2 linked regions of the Callithrix jacchus genome follow. The protein of the gene in region 2 binds, or shares a complex with, the protein of the main gene of each other region. Links are inferred from orthologs where the notes say so. Each region holds a gene or a part of one and is shown on either strand. Other genes may lie near its edges.

What was found.
Region 1: the proteins of AMHR2 (region 2) and AMH are in contact, whole or in part, in a crystal structure (PDB 7L0J), measured with the Homo sapiens proteins. The link is inferred for Callithrix jacchus from reciprocal best matches to the Homo sapiens genes AMHR2 and AMH. Residues at the interface, in NP_065434.1 of Homo sapiens: Gly31, Val32, Arg33, Gly34, Ser35, Thr36, Thr38, Leu39, Phe62, Ile64, Glu75, Met76, Arg80, Asp81, Ser82, Glu84, Pro85, Ser95, Arg97, Ala98, Pro100, Ser101, Leu106, Thr108; in NP_000470.3 of Homo sapiens: Leu471, Arg472, Glu474, Val477, Leu478, Ile479, Pro480, Glu481, Thr482, Tyr483, Gln484, Lys534, Leu535, Ile537, Leu539, Glu542, Arg543, Ile544, Ser545, Ala546.

What each region holds. Positions count from the first base shown.
Region 1 is NC_133523.1:2,130,789-2,134,690, reverse strand, and holds the start of AMH (muellerian-inhibiting factor), read right to left. Parts: upstream 2,577-3,902; 5' UTR 2,567-2,576; coding exon 2,158-2,566; intron 1,574-2,157; coding exon 1,172-1,573; intron 1,086-1,171; coding exon 1-1,085. Other genes in the region: SF3A2 (splicing factor 3A subunit 2), read right to left, coding at 3,372-3,902. UniProt on the Homo sapiens protein: Plays an important role in several reproductive functions. Induces Muellerian duct regression during male fetal sexual differentiation. Also plays a role in Leydig cell differentiation and function.
Region 2 is NC_133510.1:66,118,804-66,122,605, forward strand, and holds part of AMHR2 (anti-Muellerian hormone type-2 receptor), read right to left. Parts: intron 2,634-3,802; coding exon 2,519-2,633; intron 2,381-2,518; coding exon 2,208-2,380; intron 2,003-2,207; coding exon 1,855-2,002; intron 1,688-1,854; coding exon 1,551-1,687; intron 363-1,550; coding exon 66-362; 3' UTR 1-65. UniProt on the Homo sapiens protein: On ligand binding, forms a receptor complex consisting of two type II and two type I transmembrane serine/threonine kinases.

The sequences.
Region 1 (3,902 bases), on a different chromosome or scaffold from region 2:
GGTGGCCACCATGTTGGGCACGTGGTGCGCGCTGATGCGCTCCTCCGACAGGCTGATGAGCAGCTTGCCCGCGTAGGCGGTGGGCACGCAGCAGGGAGGGCGCCCCAAGGCGGCCCCGCGGGCCTGCATCTTCAGCAGCAGCACCACGTGGTTGCCGTAGCGCGGGTTGCGGTCGGACTGCGGCCAGCCGCACGCGCCCTGGCAGTTGTTGGCCTGGTAGGTCTCGGGGATGAGGACGGAAGGCTCGGCGCGGAGGTCCACGCTGAGCTCGTGCAGCGCGCACGGCCCGTCGGCGGCGGTGGCCCCCGCGCTGCGCTGCGCCCGCCCCGGCCCGCGCGGATCCCAGCCGCGCCACTCCGCGCGCAGCCCCTGCAGCGCCTTCAGGAGCAGCAGCGCTCGCAGGGGTCCGCCGGGGCCGCCTGGGCAGAGCGCGAGAAGGCGCGCCAGCAGCGGGGCTGCGGCCGGAGGCAGACCCGGGAGGCCGCGCAGCTCGGCAGCCGCCGCCTGCAGCTCGGCAGTCACGCGGCGCACCAGGGCCGTGGCCCACGGCGCCGACGCGGGTTCCTGCAGGGGCGCGGGGTCCCCGGAGGCGGTGGCCGCGGCGGGCGGCAGCAGCAGCAGCAGCGGCTCCTCGCCGTCGAGCAGGCGCTCCAGCTCCGCGGGGTCCGACAGGTTGACCAGACCCTGCGGGAAGCCGGACAGCGCATCCGGGTCCAGGGCCAGGCGCGGCGTCGAGGCCCGGGCCGGGGAGCCCCGCAGCGCCCGCACCAGGCGCGTGAGCGTCTCCAGGAAGGGGTCTGCGCTGGGCGGCGACTCCTCGAGCTCCGCGGATGGCCTGGAACCCGCAGTGGGGAGAGTTGGGGGCGGGCGCGAGGCCACGCCGCCCCCGCCTGCTCCTGCCCCATGCCCCCGGGCCTGCGCGCCCCTGGGTGCAGGGAGGGGCACGGTGTCCAGCTGGCCGTGTGCGGGCAGCGGCGCGGGCTCGGACCGCGGCAGCAGGAGCAGGGCCGGGGTCATCCGCGTGAAGCAGCGGCGGTCGTCGCCGAATAGCAGCGCCTTCAGCCGGGCCGTACTCAGGGGGGCGCCTGCGGTGGGGGGGCCGGGGCTGGCTCAGAGGCTGGGGGCCGGGGGCAGCCGACCTAGCGCCCGGTCCCTCTCCACCCGGACCTACCCTCTCCTCGAGGCTGCAGGGTCAAGGCCAGCCCGGAGCCGCGCCAGGCTCCCGCGGGGCGGTCCACCGCCAGCACCAGGTAGTGGGTGTCTCGGGACGGGCAGAGGCTCTGCGGAGAGCAGGGCTCAGCCCGGCTGGGTGGAGGCTTACCCCTTCCTCCCATCGCCACTGGCTCTAAGTTGCTCTCAGCACCGCAGACCCGGCAACATATCCACACCCCTGCTGCGCTGCGGAACTGCCCCATGAAACTCCCTGGTACCTGGGAACCCAGCAGCCCAGCCCTCATCACAGTGACCTCGGGGCCAGGCCCAGGGTACAGCACCAGCAGCGCCAGCTCCGGGGGGCCAGCTCCTCCAGGCGGGGGCTCCTGGAACCTGAGCGAGGGTGTCGGCTCCCATGTCACTGCAGCCGGGACAGCAGGGAACACCTGAGCCATTGAAGGCCAGGAGCCTCCCACATCCCTCTGGGGGCCTTTGGGGTCCATCCCTGCCCTGGCTGCTGTGCAGGGGACCTCGAGGGGGCACGAGGGTGACTCTCTTCACTGGCTTCTTGCAGCCAGGGAGCGGTGACAACCGGGCGGGCAGGTGCCGAGTCTGAGGCTGTGGATGGGGCTGCCCCCCATGGTCTCTGGGTTGGGGCTCCCAATGAAGTCCTTTCCCCTTAGGGAGTCTCCCAGGGTAGTGGCCCTAAGAACAGGCTACCTGGGTATGGGGCTATGGGGAGGAAGGTCCCTGTGCTTCTTCTTCATGGGTGGCAAGATGGGCACACCTGTCTCTCTGGCACTGTGGCAGGCACAGGTCTGAGAACTGGGCTTCAGGGACAGGACAGAGTGGTGCCCACCTCCCAGGCCACAGATCCACAGCCCAGACCCAGGAGCAAGACCACAGCCTCCTGGTCCGGGGTGGGGGCTCTGCCAGCCCCCAATCTTCCCTAGGACCACCACCAGAAGGCTGGCGGTGCCAAGCTCAGGGCTGGGCCCCACGTACCTTCCTCCAGGTGCAGGACCACCAGGCGCTGCCCCCCAGGTCCCCGAAGCCAGGCCCCCAGCCGCTGCAGAGAGAGCAGGGCAGCCTGCCTGTCTCCGGGGCTGCAGACCCCAAATGTGGCCAGGTCTTGGGGGCCCCAGCGGGCCCGCTGCACGGCTCCCAGGAAGGCCTGCTCATAGCTTCTCAAAGTCCCCACCACCCGCAGGGGGGTGCCGCTGCCATTGCTGTCCCCACCCAGTGCCACTAGGCACAGAGGTTCTTGGGGGCTGCCTTGCGGCCAGTCCACCTCTTCAAAGATGAGGCCACCAGTGGCCACAGCTGGCTCCTCTGCTCCAAGGGTCTCAGTCCCTAGCAGAGCCCCCAGGGCAGACAGCACCAGGGCCAGGCGGGTGAGAGGCGTGCCCCCCATTGTGGGTGATGTGAGGGGCTGGGCTGCCCGCCTTAAGTGGGCCAAGCGGAAGGTGGGTGTTTGTGCAGGCGGACGGGCCCTTATCTCCTCTGCCGCGACCTTGGGGGACACTGCCGGGCGCCCACACTCCAGGCAAAGTGGCCTTCTCAAAGATGCCTTTGTCGCCGGCAGCCTATCTCCCTCCCCGGCAGTGATAGAACTGGGCCTAATGTGTCAACAGGCTGTCCTTGAGGGCCCGTCCCCAGAAGGCACAGGAGTGCAGCCAGACTACAGTGGTGGTGGTGGGGAACCAGATGTCCCGGGTGCTGGGCGTCGAGGAGGGTCCCAAGTCAGCAGGGGCTCCCTGTCCCCTGTTCACCCTCCCCACCCCTAGTGGGCTATCTGGAGACCCCAAGGGCAGGGGCTCCCTGTCCGGTTCACCCTCCCCACCCCTACTGGGCTATCTGGAGACCACAAGGGTATCCTGGAGGCTGCTCTTCCTTCCCCAGGACATGACCCCAGACATACTCCTAGCCGACTGGTGGGGTCTGTCCTCCACCAGGCCACCTCCAGGGCACAGCTGCCTCTCAGGCTCCCATGGGTGTCTCCTGGTGGGCCCCAAGCCCTCCCCAGTCGCCCAAACTTGGGATGGTGCCCTGCCTGGCACTCCCACACGGCATTCACACGGAGGGCGGCGCTGCAGAATCCGGGCACTCAGGGCTGGGGGAGGCGGTTTAATGAGTGGGGACAGTTACAAAGAGCAGCCTTCCCTCCCTGGGAAAGGCAGGAGCACCTGGGCCGGGCTTGCTGGGAAGGGAGCAGCTTCTCAGTTGGCTGGGGGAGGGGGAGGTATGTTCCCTGGGCCTTCAGAGGGGAGTGGGGGCCTCAGCATTGGGGGCATGGGAGTTGGGGGGTGTACCCCAGGATTTGAGGGGTGAACTCCAGGAGGCTGAGGGTGGACCCCAGGAGCTGATGGATGGACCCCGGGAGGTTGGGGGTGGACCCCTGGGGCCTGAGGGTGCATCCCTGGGGCTGGTGGGTGCACCCCCGGGGCTGGTGGGTGCACCCCCGGGGCCTGAGGGTGAACGGCCGGGGCTGCTGGGTGCACCCCTGGGGCCTGGGGGTGAACTGCTGCTGGGGGAGGGTGGACCCCCGGGGCTGGTGGGTGGACTCCGGGGGCTGGTGGGTGAACCCCGGGGGCAGGTGGGTGAACCCCGGGGGCTGGAGGGTGGACCACAGGGCCTGGGGGATGGACCCCAGAGGTTGGTGGGTGCACCACAGGGGCTGGGGGATGGACGCCAGGAGCTGGGGGATGGACCCCAGGAGCTGGGGGATGGACCCCAGATGTGGGGGGGTG
Region 2 (3,802 bases):
CAAGACAGCTATACAATTGCCATATTTATGTTGGCATGTACATTGACTATACATAAATTGCATATTTACATGGGAGAAAAGGTACAGGCAGGTTGGGGATTCATGGAGCAAGGGCCTTGCTGAACACTGAAGTGGCAGGCACTCCGCTGAGGCCTACAGGGGAGGATGGCAGGGGCAGGAGTTGAAGTACAGTCTTCTGGGCAGAGATATGGGCAGCCATGTGGACAGCCCTCTGGGAAGGGATGGCTCTCCTGAGGATGGGCCAGGGCAGCCAGACGCTGCTGTACACACTCAGCTGTCAGCCGTGCTTCTGGGTCTGCATCCCAACAGTCTTCTAGGAGCTCCCTCAGCCCATCAGGGTCCTGGGAGGAATGACAGGGGGAGGGTTGATCCTAGGGAGCTTGAGTGGGCCTCAGGGTTAAAAGGCATCTTCAATGTCCATCACTCTCCTGTTTTCAACACTCCATTTCCGATTTTCCTGGAGCCTCCCTCCTCTCCCTCTTGCTAAACTCCAGGCCTCTGAGTCTTGTTCTCTATGAAACAGGCTCTCTGGGGCCCTTCCATACAGCCCACCATTTCCTCTGAGGAGCTAATATAGATTGACAGCTTAATATGCTAATGGGAAATTACTCTCTTTCTGCTCAGAGAACCAGAGTCTTCTGCAAGTAATGCCTGGTTTCTGTTAGCTAACCTACCTGACTTGTGCAGTGGAAAGTTCAGATCAGATAGCAAGAGAAGGGACATTCTGTTAAAAAAGTATTGATGCGCCGGGCGTGGTGGCTCATGCCTATAATCCCAGCACTTTGGGAGGCCGAGGCGGGTGGATCACGAGGTCAAGAGATCGAGACCATCCTGGTCGACATGGTGAAATCCTGTCTCTACTAAAAATACAAAAAATTAGCTGGGCATGGTGGCGCGTGCCTGTAATCCCAGCTACTCAGGAGGCTGAGGCAGGAGAATTGCCTGAACCCAGGAGGTGGAGGTTGTGGTGAGCCGAGATCACGCCATTGCACTCCAGCCTGAGTAACAAGAGTGAAACTCTGTCTCAAAAGAAAAAAAAAAAAGTATTGATGCAAAGTCTGGAATTTTCACTGTGAGGCCACTGCTTTCACCCTTTATACCCAGAACTGCCTTTTATTGGGTCACAGCAGAAACATTATCAATGCATGACAGAATGGGGACTTGTTGAATTGACAGGAGAGTGGACAGGGCAGAGCTCAGAGCAAGAACAAAGCCAAAGAGGGCTTCCTGGAGGAGGGGACTAAGGAACAGAGCTAACTGATGGTAGAGAGAAGAGCAGGCTAGGCAAGGCTGAGCAGGAGGAAGGTGTGTGTCTCAGGTAGATGGAACGGACTGTGTGAGACTTAGAGTGGAAGAAGATGAACTGAGGGAGAGAGCAAGTTTGCCCAGTTCCAGCTAAGCCTGAACAAGGAGTGATGGGAGATTAGAGGAGATATGAATAGACAGACTGGCCCTGGCAGAGACATTCTTGAAGCCCATGCCCAGCCCCCACTCCCCAGGTCCCCAGCCCAACAGCCTGGGCCTCTTACTGTGGCAAAGCAGCGCCACGTGGATGGGATGTAGGGACGCCTCCTCTCCTGAACTGCCAAGGCCCATAGCTCATCGGAGGTGGGGGTACTGCCCAATTCTGCCTCATAGGCCAATTGGAAGGGTGGTGGTCTGCTGTCTGGAGAAAGGTAGAGGGGATGGGTGTCAGTTAGCCCTAGGGGTGCCTACCATGTAGAAAAGCCAAGAGGGGGAAGAGCAGAGCTTTCTTGGGACCAGGTCATGTTGGGGTGAACCTAGAATGGGCAGGGAGTACCCAGGGAGGGGAATGGTACCACCCATCCTTACCAGGCCTCAAATCTGGGCAGCGGCTCAGGATCTCCCACAGGAGCAGAGCCAAAGAGTAAATATCAGCTCGTCGGAGGGCCATGCCCCAATCCTGTAGGTCCAGAGTCTTGTCTAAGAGCTCTGGTGCCATGTATCTCTGGGTGCCAGCCTGAAGAGCAAGGCACAAAGGGCCAAGAATCATCTCTGTGGCAACCCTCATTGCAGCAATGGTCCATGCAATATCCCCGCAACCACAGACTCAGCAGTGTCTCAAATGCTGCAGGCATTGCTACAACTATTAACACACAACAGCAGCACTGCCATCAGCAGCACCACCATCATCCTGGGCCTCACCGGTTATCCGGAGAACTCACTTCCATGATGGCAGCTGGGCCTTGTGGTTGAGTAGGGGTCCAGCCAGGGGGCTGAGTGAGGCCAGGAAGCACCATGGCAAGGCCCAGGTCTCCAATGGCACAGGATCCATCTTCCCGAATGAGCACATTCTGGCTGCTCAGATCTCGGTGGGCAATACCTGGTTTATACTGGCCTGTGGGGGAATTCCAAGGTTGGAAGAACATGGATCTTATTTGTCTCTCTTTTGACCCAATCCTTCCCCTCCAAACTAAGAGAGAATCAGAAACATAGCAGTGTGGCTCCCTTGACTCCCTATTCCCAGCTCACCCACCATTCTGCCAGCGCTCCTCATGGAGAAATGCCAGGCCCTGGGCCAGGGACAGTGCCATCCGCAGGGAACTTCCCCAGTCACTAGTGTGTCGGGTCAAGTAGAGGCACAGGGAGCCCTGGGGAAAAGCAGAGAGAAGAGGACAGTACACAAAGCTGGAGGCAGCTGATCCATTTCAGGGAGCAAGATCAATTGACAGTCTTCTCCCTGCATCTCCCCAGCAGACAGACACACTGACAGATGCTGGCCAAGACAGTAGGTAGAAGAAGTAAGATTGTGCATCGATTGACATGAAAAAATAGTAACTCTGGGTCAAGGGTACTGAGCACTTACTGTAGTCCAGGCCCAGTGTACGTGGCCTCCTGTAATCCTTGTGACAACCCTAGGAGGTAGGTGCTCCTATCACACCCTGGTTTAACAGATGAAGAGCTTTTCCTTAAAGAGCTAAGGAAACATGCTTGAATCCGTTGATGAGGCAGGAGTGGAGCTTGAATCCAAACACTCTGACTCAGGGTCACTTATTAATAACCAGCAGCTTATACTGACTCAGAAGACATGGAGCAAAGACGGAAACAGAGGAGGCAAGGTAAGCTATTCGGGCATCCCTCACGAACCACCTTGTCTGAGGTGTCAGGCCTGTGTACACATGGATGGGCAGAGCCAGTGGATAACAGAGTAGCAGGTGGAGGGAAAATGGGAATTGGAGGGAAAGAAGCAATAGAATCCCTTATTCAACAAGTGTTATAGAGCACCTTCAGTGGCCATGATCTGTCTTCAGGCACAAGATGGCTCAGGGAAGGTAAGAGATAAAGAAAGCAAGGCTGGGCGTGGTGGCTCACACCTGTAATCCTAGCACTTTGGGAGGCCAAGGCAAGAGAATCACGAGGTCAGGAGTTCGAGACCAGCTTGGCCAACAGGATGAAACTCTGTGTCTATTAAAAATACAAAAAATTAGAATAAGGAACAAAATGAATAAATAAAAATACAAAAAAATAGCCAGGAGTAGTGGCAGGTACCTGTAATGCCAGCTGCTCAGGAGGCTGAGGCAGGAGAATTGCTCGAACCCAGGAGGTGAAGAGAGACTCGGTCTCAGAAAAAAAAAAAAAGAGAGATAAAGAATGCAAAGGCTGGGCATGGTGGCTCACATCTGTAATCCCAGCACTTCAGGAGGCTGAGGTGGGTAGATCACGAGGTCAGGAGTTCAAGAACAGCCTGGCCAAGATAGTGAAACCCGGTGTCTACTAAAAATACAAAAATTAGCTGGGCATGGTGGCTCTTGCCTGTAGT